3 linked regions of the Drosophila melanogaster genome follow. The protein of the gene in region 1 interacts with the protein of each later gene in a pairwise test. Each region holds a gene or a part of one and is shown in the gene's direction. Other genes may lie near its edges.

What was found.
Region 2: the proteins of CG2972 (region 1) and CG11345 interact in a two-hybrid assay, tested with the Drosophila melanogaster proteins (one large-scale study listed by BioGRID).
Region 3: the proteins of CG2972 (region 1) and CG7126 interact in a two-hybrid assay, tested with the Drosophila melanogaster proteins (one large-scale study listed by BioGRID).

Annotation. Positions count from the first base shown.
Region 1 is NC_004354.4:10,081,435-10,085,550, forward strand, and holds CG2972 (uncharacterized protein), read left to right. Parts: upstream 1-1,719; 5' UTR 1,720-1,813; coding exon 1,814-1,888; intron 1,889-1,947; coding exon 1,948-3,291; 3' UTR 3,292-3,616; downstream 3,617-4,116. Other genes in the region: ZAP3, read right to left, coding at 1-437, 499-870; Naxe (NAD(P)HX epimerase), read right to left, coding at 3,746-3,968, 4,027-4,116.
Region 2 is NT_037436.4:4,456,576-4,459,907, reverse strand, and holds CG11345 (uncharacterized protein), read left to right. Parts: upstream 1-1,744; 5' UTR 1,745-1,795; coding exon 1,796-1,798; intron 1,799-1,862; coding exon 1,863-2,588; 3' UTR 2,589-2,731; downstream 2,732-3,332. Other genes in the region: CG15022 (uncharacterized protein), read left to right, coding at 1-610.
Region 3 is NT_033777.3:18,301,441-18,304,796, reverse strand, and holds CG7126 (uncharacterized protein), read left to right. Parts: upstream 1-1,947; coding exon 1,948-2,386; intron 2,387-2,451; coding exon 2,452-2,606; intron 2,607-2,664; coding exon 2,665-2,745; downstream 2,746-3,356. Other genes in the region: PKD (protein kinase D), read left to right, coding at 1-665, 735-931; Polr1E (RNA polymerase I subunit E), read left to right, coding at 3,150-3,216, 3,280-3,356.

The DNA of each region.
Region 1 (4,116 bases):
GGCGGCTGCTGGAGATTCGGAAATCCCTGGTTGTCTTGCCCGGCAATGTTGTAGTTCATCTGGTTCATTTGACCGCCACCATATCTATTTGGCGGCGGCTGTTGCATTGGCGGTGGTCCTGACCACATGCTTTGGATGTCATTCGGATGCTGATTGTAACCGCCTTTTTGTGGTGGCGGCGGCGGCTGGTTGTACATCTGCGGCTGGGCCATGATCTTACCGGGCAGTGGCGGTGCTCCCGCGACGGCTACGGGTGTAGTTGACTGCGCCGGCGAGGCGCTGACACCTTGGTAATAGTTATGTGCGACAGGATAGGCCTGTGGCCCGGGAGGAGCGACCACAGGGACGGGTGCTGCTGCAGGAGTCGCTACCACAGGCGCGGGCACGCCTTGAACTGCGGTAGTTGTGGCCGCGGCTGCGGCCATTTCACGCTTATACTAAAGATTTGGAAGACTACTATAGCAATATGATCGTCGATAACTAATTGATTTGACCCACCTGCTCACCGTACTGGGCATGCCACTTGGCGTACTCCTCCTGGTATGTCTGCCACTGTTGCCAGTGGTGCTGCAGTGCGTACTGCTGTTCGGGTGTCATGGCCGCGTACTGGGCGGCCGTATACTGTTGATAGGGGTTGCCAGCCCCCGTCGCCTGGCCGCTGCTATAGGGGTTGAATCCAGGGGCCGTTGTGACTGCGGCTGCAGTCGTGACTATGGGTGCAGAGGCACCGCTTGATGCTCCGGCTCCGGCGGTCGCGTCCGATGGAGGCGGAGGGGGCGGGGCGTCCGGCAACGGTGGCGGAACCGACGGTTGCGGAGGTAGAGCGGCAGTGGGAGCCACTGCGGCGGCGGTTTGCCATTGGCCCCACATACCGTGTCCACTGGATTGATTAGCCTATTAGCGAATAACACACTTGTACCGCTCGGTTGGGCTTTCACAAAATCCGGCGGATTGGCTCCGTTCCGTTTAAAATCGTCCACCTTTCACTAATTCAGTTTGCTATCTGAACGAATTGATAATGAAAACTTCGCCATATTTGGCTTGAAAACTAGAGATGGAACTGTCAGCTAAATGGGCCGGGCAGTGTGACCGTGCTGCGAGTGTGCATCCATATATCGCAAGCACCCTAGAATATTCCATTGCCAATTAATAAAATAATTTGAATGTAATCCAATGCACTTACAAGCCTACAAATTGAAAAATTAGCAAAGATAGCTTGCTTAAGTGATTGATTCGTAGAAGTTGTATTGATAATACGAAAATATGTTAAAAAAAAAATAAACAAGAAGATCAAACTGGCAGACCTTCTAATGAGCTTTTTGAAAATCTGCAGCAAATTAATAGATTTCTCAGACCAGGCATTTTACTACATTTTTTCATATCTGTAAATATGTTAATATAAGTTAAGTCAAGTGATATTTTGTTTAACTGATGTTTTTTGTAGTTTGTTAAGTAAATTTGGTAATTTTCCAACAGTCCGGCCGAAAGTCTAAGTAGTCAGGACCGATATCTCCCTGTGATAATAATATAATATCTCATAGAAATATATTTTAACATGAATTAATTTTAACAATTTTATTGAGAGCTAGCAATAAAATTTTAGGGAACGCATTCATTTAGCTTTGCCTAACTCTTAAAAATGTAAAATTTAATTAACTAATATTAAAATCACAAATTCATAAACACTTTTTGGTATTTTTAGCATACCCTAACGTAACGGTCACAGCTCACTACAGCCACACTAATCGCGACACGTGCAGAAATTGTTATTTTTTGCCGTCCTTTGTTTTTCATGTGAAAATTAGCACTGAAAATGGCCGAAACGAGCGAAAAGATCAAGTTCCTTGTGGCGGACACCACAGCCTTTATAAACGCCGTGCCCCTGAATGTAAGTCACGCACAATTTGCCCATTCGAGCCATCTAAAGCCGCCACTAATCCCCTACAGGAATACGCGGAGCAGGTGCTCACCGTGCCGGATGTGGTGGCCGAAGTGCGCAACAAGCGCCAGATTCGCCGCCTCTGCGTTCTGCCCTTCGACCTCCAGGTGCGCGAGCCTCGTCCGGAGAGCATTAAACACTGCGTGGAGTTCGCCAAGAAAACGGGTGACTACGCGAGTCTCTCGGGGATCGATCTGAAAGTGATCTCGCTCACCTACGAACTGGAAGCAGACAACGTGGGCACTGATCACCTGCGCCAGGAGCCTGTGATGGCGCAGACCATTGCGTCCAAGGATAAACCCGAGGAGATGCAGGATGCTAATAACAAGAGACTGGTCGGTTGGTACATGCCCGAGGGCGAAGAGGAGGAGGAGGAGGATTCCGAGGAGGAAGATGATTACTCCCAGGAAGAGGACGATGCTGAAGGCGATGAGCAGGAGGCAAATGAATCCCCAGACACTGTTAAAGCCGCCATCGAAGCCCAATTGGCCGGCAAGGAACCATTTGCCAGCGAGACCATCGAAAAGGAGGAGGACCAAGACCAGGAGCCCAGTCAGGAGGAGCTGGACAAGCTGTTCGAGCAGCTCAAATGCGCACCCAGTGCCGAGGAAGAGAAAGAGCTCTCGGAACTGCTCGTTTCCCAGCCGGCCGAAGTAGATGAGGAGGTATCCGAGCCACAAGAAGCCAAACAGAGCCAAAATCTCGACGAGGATGTGGGTGACGATGGCTGGATCACGCATTCAAACATCAAGAAGGCCAAGAAAGCGCTCGAGGGCAAAGTGGAAACGGATGAAGTGCCGCCCGTCGCCTGCATGACCACCGATTATGCGCTGCAGAACGTGCTCAAGCAGCTAAATCTCCACCTGGCCGCCCTCAATGGCCGGATCATCAAGCAGTTGCGCACATATATACTCCGCTGCTACGCGTGCTACAAGACCACCAGCATCATGACCAAGGTGTTTTGCCCCAATTGTGGCAACAAGACGCTGAAACGTGTGGCCGTCAGTCTGGACGAGAACGGTCGCCAGGTGATTCACATCAATACGCGCCGTCCGCTGACCAATAAGTACAAGAATCAGAGCCTGCCTCGCTTCCAGGGCGGCAAGCATTCGAGAAATCCGATCCTGTTCGAGGATCAGCCGATGCCCAGGCAGATGCCGTCGCGCGTTGCCAAGACCAAGACGAACGCTCTGGATCAGGACTACACGGCCGGATTCTCGCCCTTCGTGCTGCGCGACGTGGACTCCAAGTCCGCCATGCTGCGCTCCAAGGGCAACCTCAAGGAGTGGGCCAGGAATAACAACTTCGAGGAGGATCGCCGGCGCAAGAACTACAATCGCTTGTACAAGTAGATTACTCTGGGCAGTAAGGGGCTAGTTGTTCATTAGCTTTCCAATCGTAGACTTTATATAAATTTATATAATATATAAAATAAAACACAAGGGAGAACCTGAAACTTTGTAAAATGTAAACAGAGAAGCTTTTCAAGTAGTTACAAGCGTTATTTTTAAACGAAATAAATCTTTTTTTTTTGTATGTAAGGTATGGAGTTTTTCTTGGATTCTAATTCCAATATTTATTTACAAAGTTAAAAGCTAGAAAATCTTTTTTTTTGTTATGAACTAGCATTAAGTTTCATTTTTTTAACGTAATTAAATCTGTTTTTAATTGAACATTGTGTTTGCTGCTTCTGGAAATCAAAATAGTCGCTGTTTCAACAAAGAATTCATTTCAAATGATGGATGGAAACCAGACGTTGCGGCTCAAGACTCCATCGTTTATTGGGAAACCGCATAAATGCAGAAATCACAGCTTGACGCACAGCTCGTTGCCCGGATAAACGGGCAGATTCAGTTCGTATTTGCGCTGCAGGGCGGGCGGCACGAATCTGCCGCCCAAGTAGTGATGTTCGCCGCGAAATTGGCGGGCACAGAGTTTCGGCGCAGTGAGGGAAATGAGCAGAGCCGGCTCCACGTCGCATTCAGTCAGCTTGCCCTTCTCCACATCCCAGCCGCTGGGAATGTCCACGCTGCAAGGAGGAAGCAACATTAGCTTAGAATTAGCTAGTATAACGTAACGAATCTCACCTGGCAATTGGCAGTTTGGTCTGCTGCATTAGTTCCACGACGGCGACAAAGTCCGCTCGCACCGGCGGCTTGAAGCTGAATCCGAAGAGC
Region 2 (3,332 bases), on another chromosome or scaffold:
ATATAGCTATGGACCTCCAGAGAAACCTCGCCAGAAGTACCTGCCGCCCAAGGTTTCCCTGCCACCGCCACCACCTCCACCGCCCAAGGCAACTTATCTGCCTCCCTCAAAGCCTGAAGTGAAGTACCTGCCCCCCGAACCGGTGGCCAAGTATCTGCCACCCAAGGTCGCTCCCAGCCTGCCTCCTCCACCACCACCTCCAGTTGTGGCGCCCAAGCCCACATATCTGCCTCCCAGTCCGCCAGAGTCCAAGTACCTTCCTCCTCCGACGCCCGAGGTGAAGTATCTGCCACCTGCTCCAGTGGCAAGGTATCTGCCACCCAAGGTTGCACCCAGTCTGCCACCACCACCTCCACCCCCACCAGTGGCTCCCAAGAAGCTGTATCTTCCTCCTGCCGAGCCGGAGACTAAGTACCTGCCACCTTCCGAGCCCGTCGAGAAGTATCTGCCTCCTAAGCCCGAACAAAAATATCTGCCACCCCAGCCTGAGGTAGATTTCCACATACCGATTCCATCCTATGCACTGCCCTTGGGCCCTGCACCAAGTCCAATCCACGACGCCGAGCCTGGTTACCACTACAAGCCTCCACTTCGCCGTTTCAGGCATTAGGATAATCAACCACCGAAAAAAAACCAAACCACAAGCACTGCATCTAGTTTTAAGCTGTACACATTAAAAGCATTTTTAACAAAAAATAAAATGGAGTATTACACCACTCGCACTCTTTCCCCATCCTCAAGGTCAAAGATATCAAACCCAAATTGCTGTCACCCAGCCCCCAAGGGATCCATGTGGATTTCAATCTGACCTCCAAATCTAATTGCGGCCAATCAACCGAAATAGCCAAACGGCTTCGGTTTTAGCTTTAGTTCAGCTCGATCATCACCTGCAGTGTCGATAATTACTGTCTTTTTGGATGAAAAATGATGTGAGTTTTGGTTTGAATATATTTATAGGGATTGATCGGTGTCGGTTACAGAAAGGTTCAAACCGAACCAAAATCGCTAATCGCCAATTGCAGCCATCGGCAATGGGACGACAGTTGACCTCTTTCAATGTTGCCCAGAGATGGGGCAAGTCTTTTAAAGGTGCCATGAAAAGATTAGACAGAAATAAATAATTAAGCCCCTAACGAATTGAGTATGCTCTTTTGAAAAGGGTTAAAGTTTAAATGTTTAAACATTAGGTTACTTTAATAGCACACTTGATTTGTCTTTCATTTTGTCTTTAAGCATTTTAATTAAAACCTGATAGTGATGTATCAATAATGTTATACATTTCTTAGGTACATGATGACTAATGCATACGAAATAAATAGTCTAACAACTCCAAAAGTACGATAAACTATTTATCCCAATAATTGCCTAACCAAAAACTATTTTAAGTACTTGGCAAACGCAGCGGTGATCGTAAAACCCAACACGTTTATGGCTCCCAGCCATAAAGAGCTCCCTGGTCGGGCCAAAAAAAAACAAAAGCCAACGCAACGAGATGACTTCGAATTAAGAGATTTAATAAAAATTGAATGCCAATTCCCAATACCGGCTGCCAAAGGGGCGAGACCCCTAAACGCCGCTTAGCTGACAACCGGGCCATTTGGATATAGACGGATCGCAGTCAGATCGTCTCTCGCGGCGTCGGCGTTGGCCAGAGGTAATAACGTGACGCGATCGCTTTATAGCGACCACTGATTCAGGTTCAGGTTCTCTAACTGTATAAATAAAGAAGCACTTGCCGGAAACTGTATCACTTCGGTAGAGGCCGTCGTCGCACCAAGAACGTTCCAACAGAAAAATGGTTTGTGTTTACTCTCCAAGGATAATAGCTCAGCGTGTTAAATTGATTTTATTGTATATTTCAGAAAGTCCTTATGCTGGCTGTTTGCAGCTTGGCTCTGGTAGCCGCTGATGTCTCGCATTTGTTCGGTCATGACCACCATGATCACCATGACCATCCTGGCTACAACTATGACCCACCAAGCATCCCCTTTGAACTGCCCACTCCGGCTCCGGCTTATCTGCCTCCAGAACCAGTGACCGTTCGTGAGGCTCCTGTGACCGTGCCTCCTCCAGTTTATTTGCCACCAGCGACCGTGAAACCTGAGATCCCGGTTGTCAGGACCCCCAAGCCCGCCTATCTGCCTCCTCCACCACCAGTGATTAAGGTCAACCCACCCAAGCCCGCCTATCTGCCTCCTCCGCCACCAGTTGTCAAGGTCAATCCACCCAAGCCTGCCTATCTGCCTCCTCCGCCACCAGTTGTGAAGGTCAACCCACCCAAGCCCTCCTACCTGCCTCCTCCACCACCGGTTGTTAAGGTCAACCCACCCAAGCCTGCCTATGTGCCACCTCCACCACCGGCTGTCAAGGTCAACCCACCCAAGCCCGCTTATCTGCCACCTGCACCTGTGGTGGAGCAGCCCCGTTACGTCGCACCAGCTGTAGTGCCCGCCTTCAAGATCCCGATCCCTTCATACGCCGCACCTCTGGAGGAACCCGTAAACACCTATCTGCCACCCCAGGAGATCGTGGAGTCCCATGATGATGGATACCACTACGATGCGCCATCTCAGCCGTTCCTCTTCTAAATAGCCATCATCCTCAGCCATTTTTTATTTGTTGTCTTTGAGTGTGACGTGTATTTACCTGTAGTTATTTATTGTTTACCTAGCTCAGCCTGCACTAAAAACGAAATAAAGCTTAGCACTGCGAAAACGTAGTTTCCCAAGCGTGTTATATGTATATCCTGTTCTGATCTTGAACTTGAGAAGGGAAAATCCTATCGTAAAAGAGGCCATGACCACGAACTCGGCTCAAGTGCCACGATAGACAGCATAATTGCCTCGGGAGTGCTAAAATTATATTTCAGACCGAGGCAGAACAGTTTCATTCATGGACAATCCAGCTGTGGTTATTTTGGGAACTACACTGAGTAATGCTCTATGGCCAATTCCGGCTTGATTTATTGACAACCCAAACAAAATCCAGCTTTGAGTAATTGAACTTAGCAGCCATAATAAGCTGTAGTTTTATGGGTCGAATTGTGGCTGAGCTTCAATAAACGACATTCTTATAATTTATGATACCACCTTAATTGCTCGAGACAATCGCTGGCATTGTTTAAGAGGTGTGATGATACGCCCCCGACCATTGGAAGTATTTTATTTTTTTTTTGTTTTAATCCGCCCACAATGCTGTGAAAGTTTTTATTATTAATTTATTTATTAAGGCATACGGGGAAGTCTTGAATCCCCTTTGTGTCCTTCTTATCTATTAATTCAGCCCATTTGGGCTCGCCGGCTAACTATAGTTAGCTTTTTCAAATTTACAGT
Region 3 (3,356 bases), on another chromosome or scaffold:
TTCCGGGCAGTTTGGTGTGGTCTACGGCGGCGTGCACAAGAAGACGCAACGCGAGGTGGCCATCAAGGTGATCGACAAATTGCGCTTTCCCACCAAACAGGAGGCGCAGCTGAAGAACGAGGTGGCCATCCTGCAGAACATCTCGCATTGCGGCGTCGTCAATCTGGAGCGAATGTTCGAGACTCCGGAGCGGATCTTTGTGGTGATGGAAAAGCTCAAGGGCGACATGCTGGAGATGATCCTGTCGCATGCGAGGGGCCGCCTGAGTGAACGGGTGACCAAGTTCCTGATCACCCAGATCCTGATTGCCCTCAAGTACCTGCATTCGCAAAACATAGTCCACTGCGATCTGAAGCCGGAGAACGTGCTGCTCTCCTCGGACGCCGAGTTTCCGCAGGTGAAGCTCTGCGACTTTGGCTACGCCCGGATCATCGGCGAGAAGTCCTTCCGGCGCTCGGTGGTTGGCACTCCGGCCTATCTGGCACCGGAGGTGCTCCGTAACAAGGGCTACAATCGATCTCTAGACATGTGGAGCGTGGGCGTCATCATATACGTGAGCCTGAGCGGCACATTCCCGTTCAACGAGGAGGAGGACATCAACGACCAGATCCAGAACGCGGCCTTCATGTATCCACCAAATCCCTGGAAGGAGATCTCCTCCAATGGTGAGTGTAGGGGCTAAGCACGAAATTCAAGTCCAGGCTCATCAATGAATCCCTTTTGGTTTTCCCCAGCCATCGACCTGATCAACAACCTGCTGCAGGTGAAGCAGCGCAAGCGGTACACGGTGGACAAGAGTCTGCTGCACTACTGGCTGCAGGACAAGCAGACGTACCGCGATCTCCGGAACCTGGAGGCCCAGGTGGGTGCCGGCCGGTATCTGACCCACGAGGCGGATGATCTGCGCTGGGACTGCGCGGGCGACATGTGACCTGGCTGTGAGCCCGAGGCGATTCTCGAGAGCACCACCGAGTTAATCAGCTGCAGCGCCAACACCACCACCGAAAGCTATCGTCGATCTCCGGCGGACTGCGCCGGATGCCATCGGCTGTCGGATTGCGGGAACTCACCCAAATCGGAGGCCATGAGCGACAGGGCGCTGAAATGGATGCGGTTCCACCTCTGCCGGCACATCAAATAGCAGTACAACCTTATTGCCTAGCCCATAAGTTTATCCTATCTCTCTAACTCGCTTCTCGATTGATATCCGCTAAACAAACGAACTCTTCTTACCACTTACCACTTACCACTTACCACTTACAACTTACAACTCTGTGTGCTAAATTTTTCTCTAGAATCAAAATTAGTCGATAGCTTTAATTTGTTAACCACCTAAAGGCAACTCTTATGAATAATACACAAATACTTAATATACTTATGTGAAAATAAAACCCAGACGTAACTGCGAAGCTCAGATCCAGTTTAGTACCAATGGCCATAAGTTACAGGAAGAACCCAAAAACCAAACGAATGGCAGAGAAATATAGCTGAATAAACAACGCTTGACAATTAAGAGACCCACTTCGCGCTTTTACTTACAGTCGCGGGCAAATAAATAGGTAGCATTGTCATATTTGGGGTTAATTTGAAAATATATAATTCATTTTGTTAGCTAATTTAATATTTAATTAATATTTAATATTAATTTATAAAGTATTGCTTAGTATTTTAATTGTAATATTTTCAAATTAGATCATGCTAATTTGTACTATTTTTTGTAGTTCGAAATGACTATATATGTATGTAGATATTTTTCACATATGTAGTAAACAAGTGTATCTTCATATTTTGAATATATTTTTCCACCCATGACTGTTTGTCACCGGTAATGGAAGTGTCTACAACTTAAGGTGCTCCAAAAGATCACTGGCCTGCAACGGTGGACCCCTTTCTCGCCGAAATTTCAATGCTTTCCAACATTTCTTGTTCAGCATTTCAGCAGTAAAGATGCATTTTATTGTGCCTCAGTGCTTCATAATGGCAATTCTTGCCGGGATTAGCCAGCAGGGCGATGACTTCAGCACGCCCAGTGTCGCCTGGTTGGAATATCAGCGGGAGAGATTCGGTATGAGCAGTAATCCTTTCTTGTTTGGGTCCACCAAGGCACCAACAGTCCCAAATGTAGAGGTGGTGACCCCGAAAGTGGAGACTACATCCAGGAAACATTCATCCAGCTCAACCGAAAACGCAAATCCGGAATCGGAGGAGGACGAGGAATCCACGGAGCCACCAAACGAAGATGAGGAAGTTGGGGTGCCCAGCGTTCAAGGATTCTTCAAGTTTCTAAAGGACATGCAGAAAACTTGGATCAAGAAATCGACTCTCACTTTCGGAAAGAAAATAAAGTTGCTTCAAAACCTACGAGATAATCTTATAAAATTGATAGGTTAGTTTTATAGGTTTTAAGATCTTATATGTTGCCTTATTATAATTAATCTTCTGATTTTGTAGAGCAACAGTTCTCGGTTCTTTGGCAGCCACCAGAGCGAAAAAGGAGACGTCGACGTGGAATTTTGGATGACTCGGAAATAGACTTTCCGCCTGAGGCGGCAATCATGAGCATCAACTTTTTGACATTCGCCGTTTTCCTCATTAAGCTCGTTATGGTATGTTGGAATTTATATTGAAATATTTATATGTATAATTAATTTTCTAATATTGCAGCAAGTGGTTAAAATTGTAAAAAGCAAACATGTTACCTTTTCTGGATTTACCTTTTCACCAGAAGCTGCAAGACGTCCATAAAGTATTACCACTGCTTAAGTTTGACACGTAGTTTAGATTTTAAATATATTCTTTTAAAATGAAAAACGAATTTTCGTGAAACAGAAAACTATTTTAGAATTTATAATAAGTAGTCTGCTGCTTAGAACAATGATATATTAATCTTTCTTATGTTTACCAGATCTAGATTTAAATTTTATGAGTTAGTTTAGTCAAAGGTTAGTAAATGTTTTAATATTAAATGCTGTCGAAACCAATTTTCAAAATTTGAACTATCGATTCTTATCGACTATTCGATTTTGGCTGGAATCGGCTTTCATATCACTCAGCTTTCGTCCATCGCATGTCATCTGTTTTGTTTTCCACACGTGCAACATTTGAATTGTTTCTAAAAGCCAGAAAAATTCAAATATAACGCAGTAACAATGGAAGATAAAATTATAATAGAATCCGTATGCGATCATAAAAGAGACGAGAACATACCTACCATACGTAAGTTAACAAGTGCAGCCATCAATTAGGAAGAAAATATACAATCTCACCTTCCATCCATAGTGAAATTCCAGAATGGATCTCTTTTGGGCGACGCAGATTTCAGCATGGTAGAGAGCACCGTAGATGGCAAAAAGCAT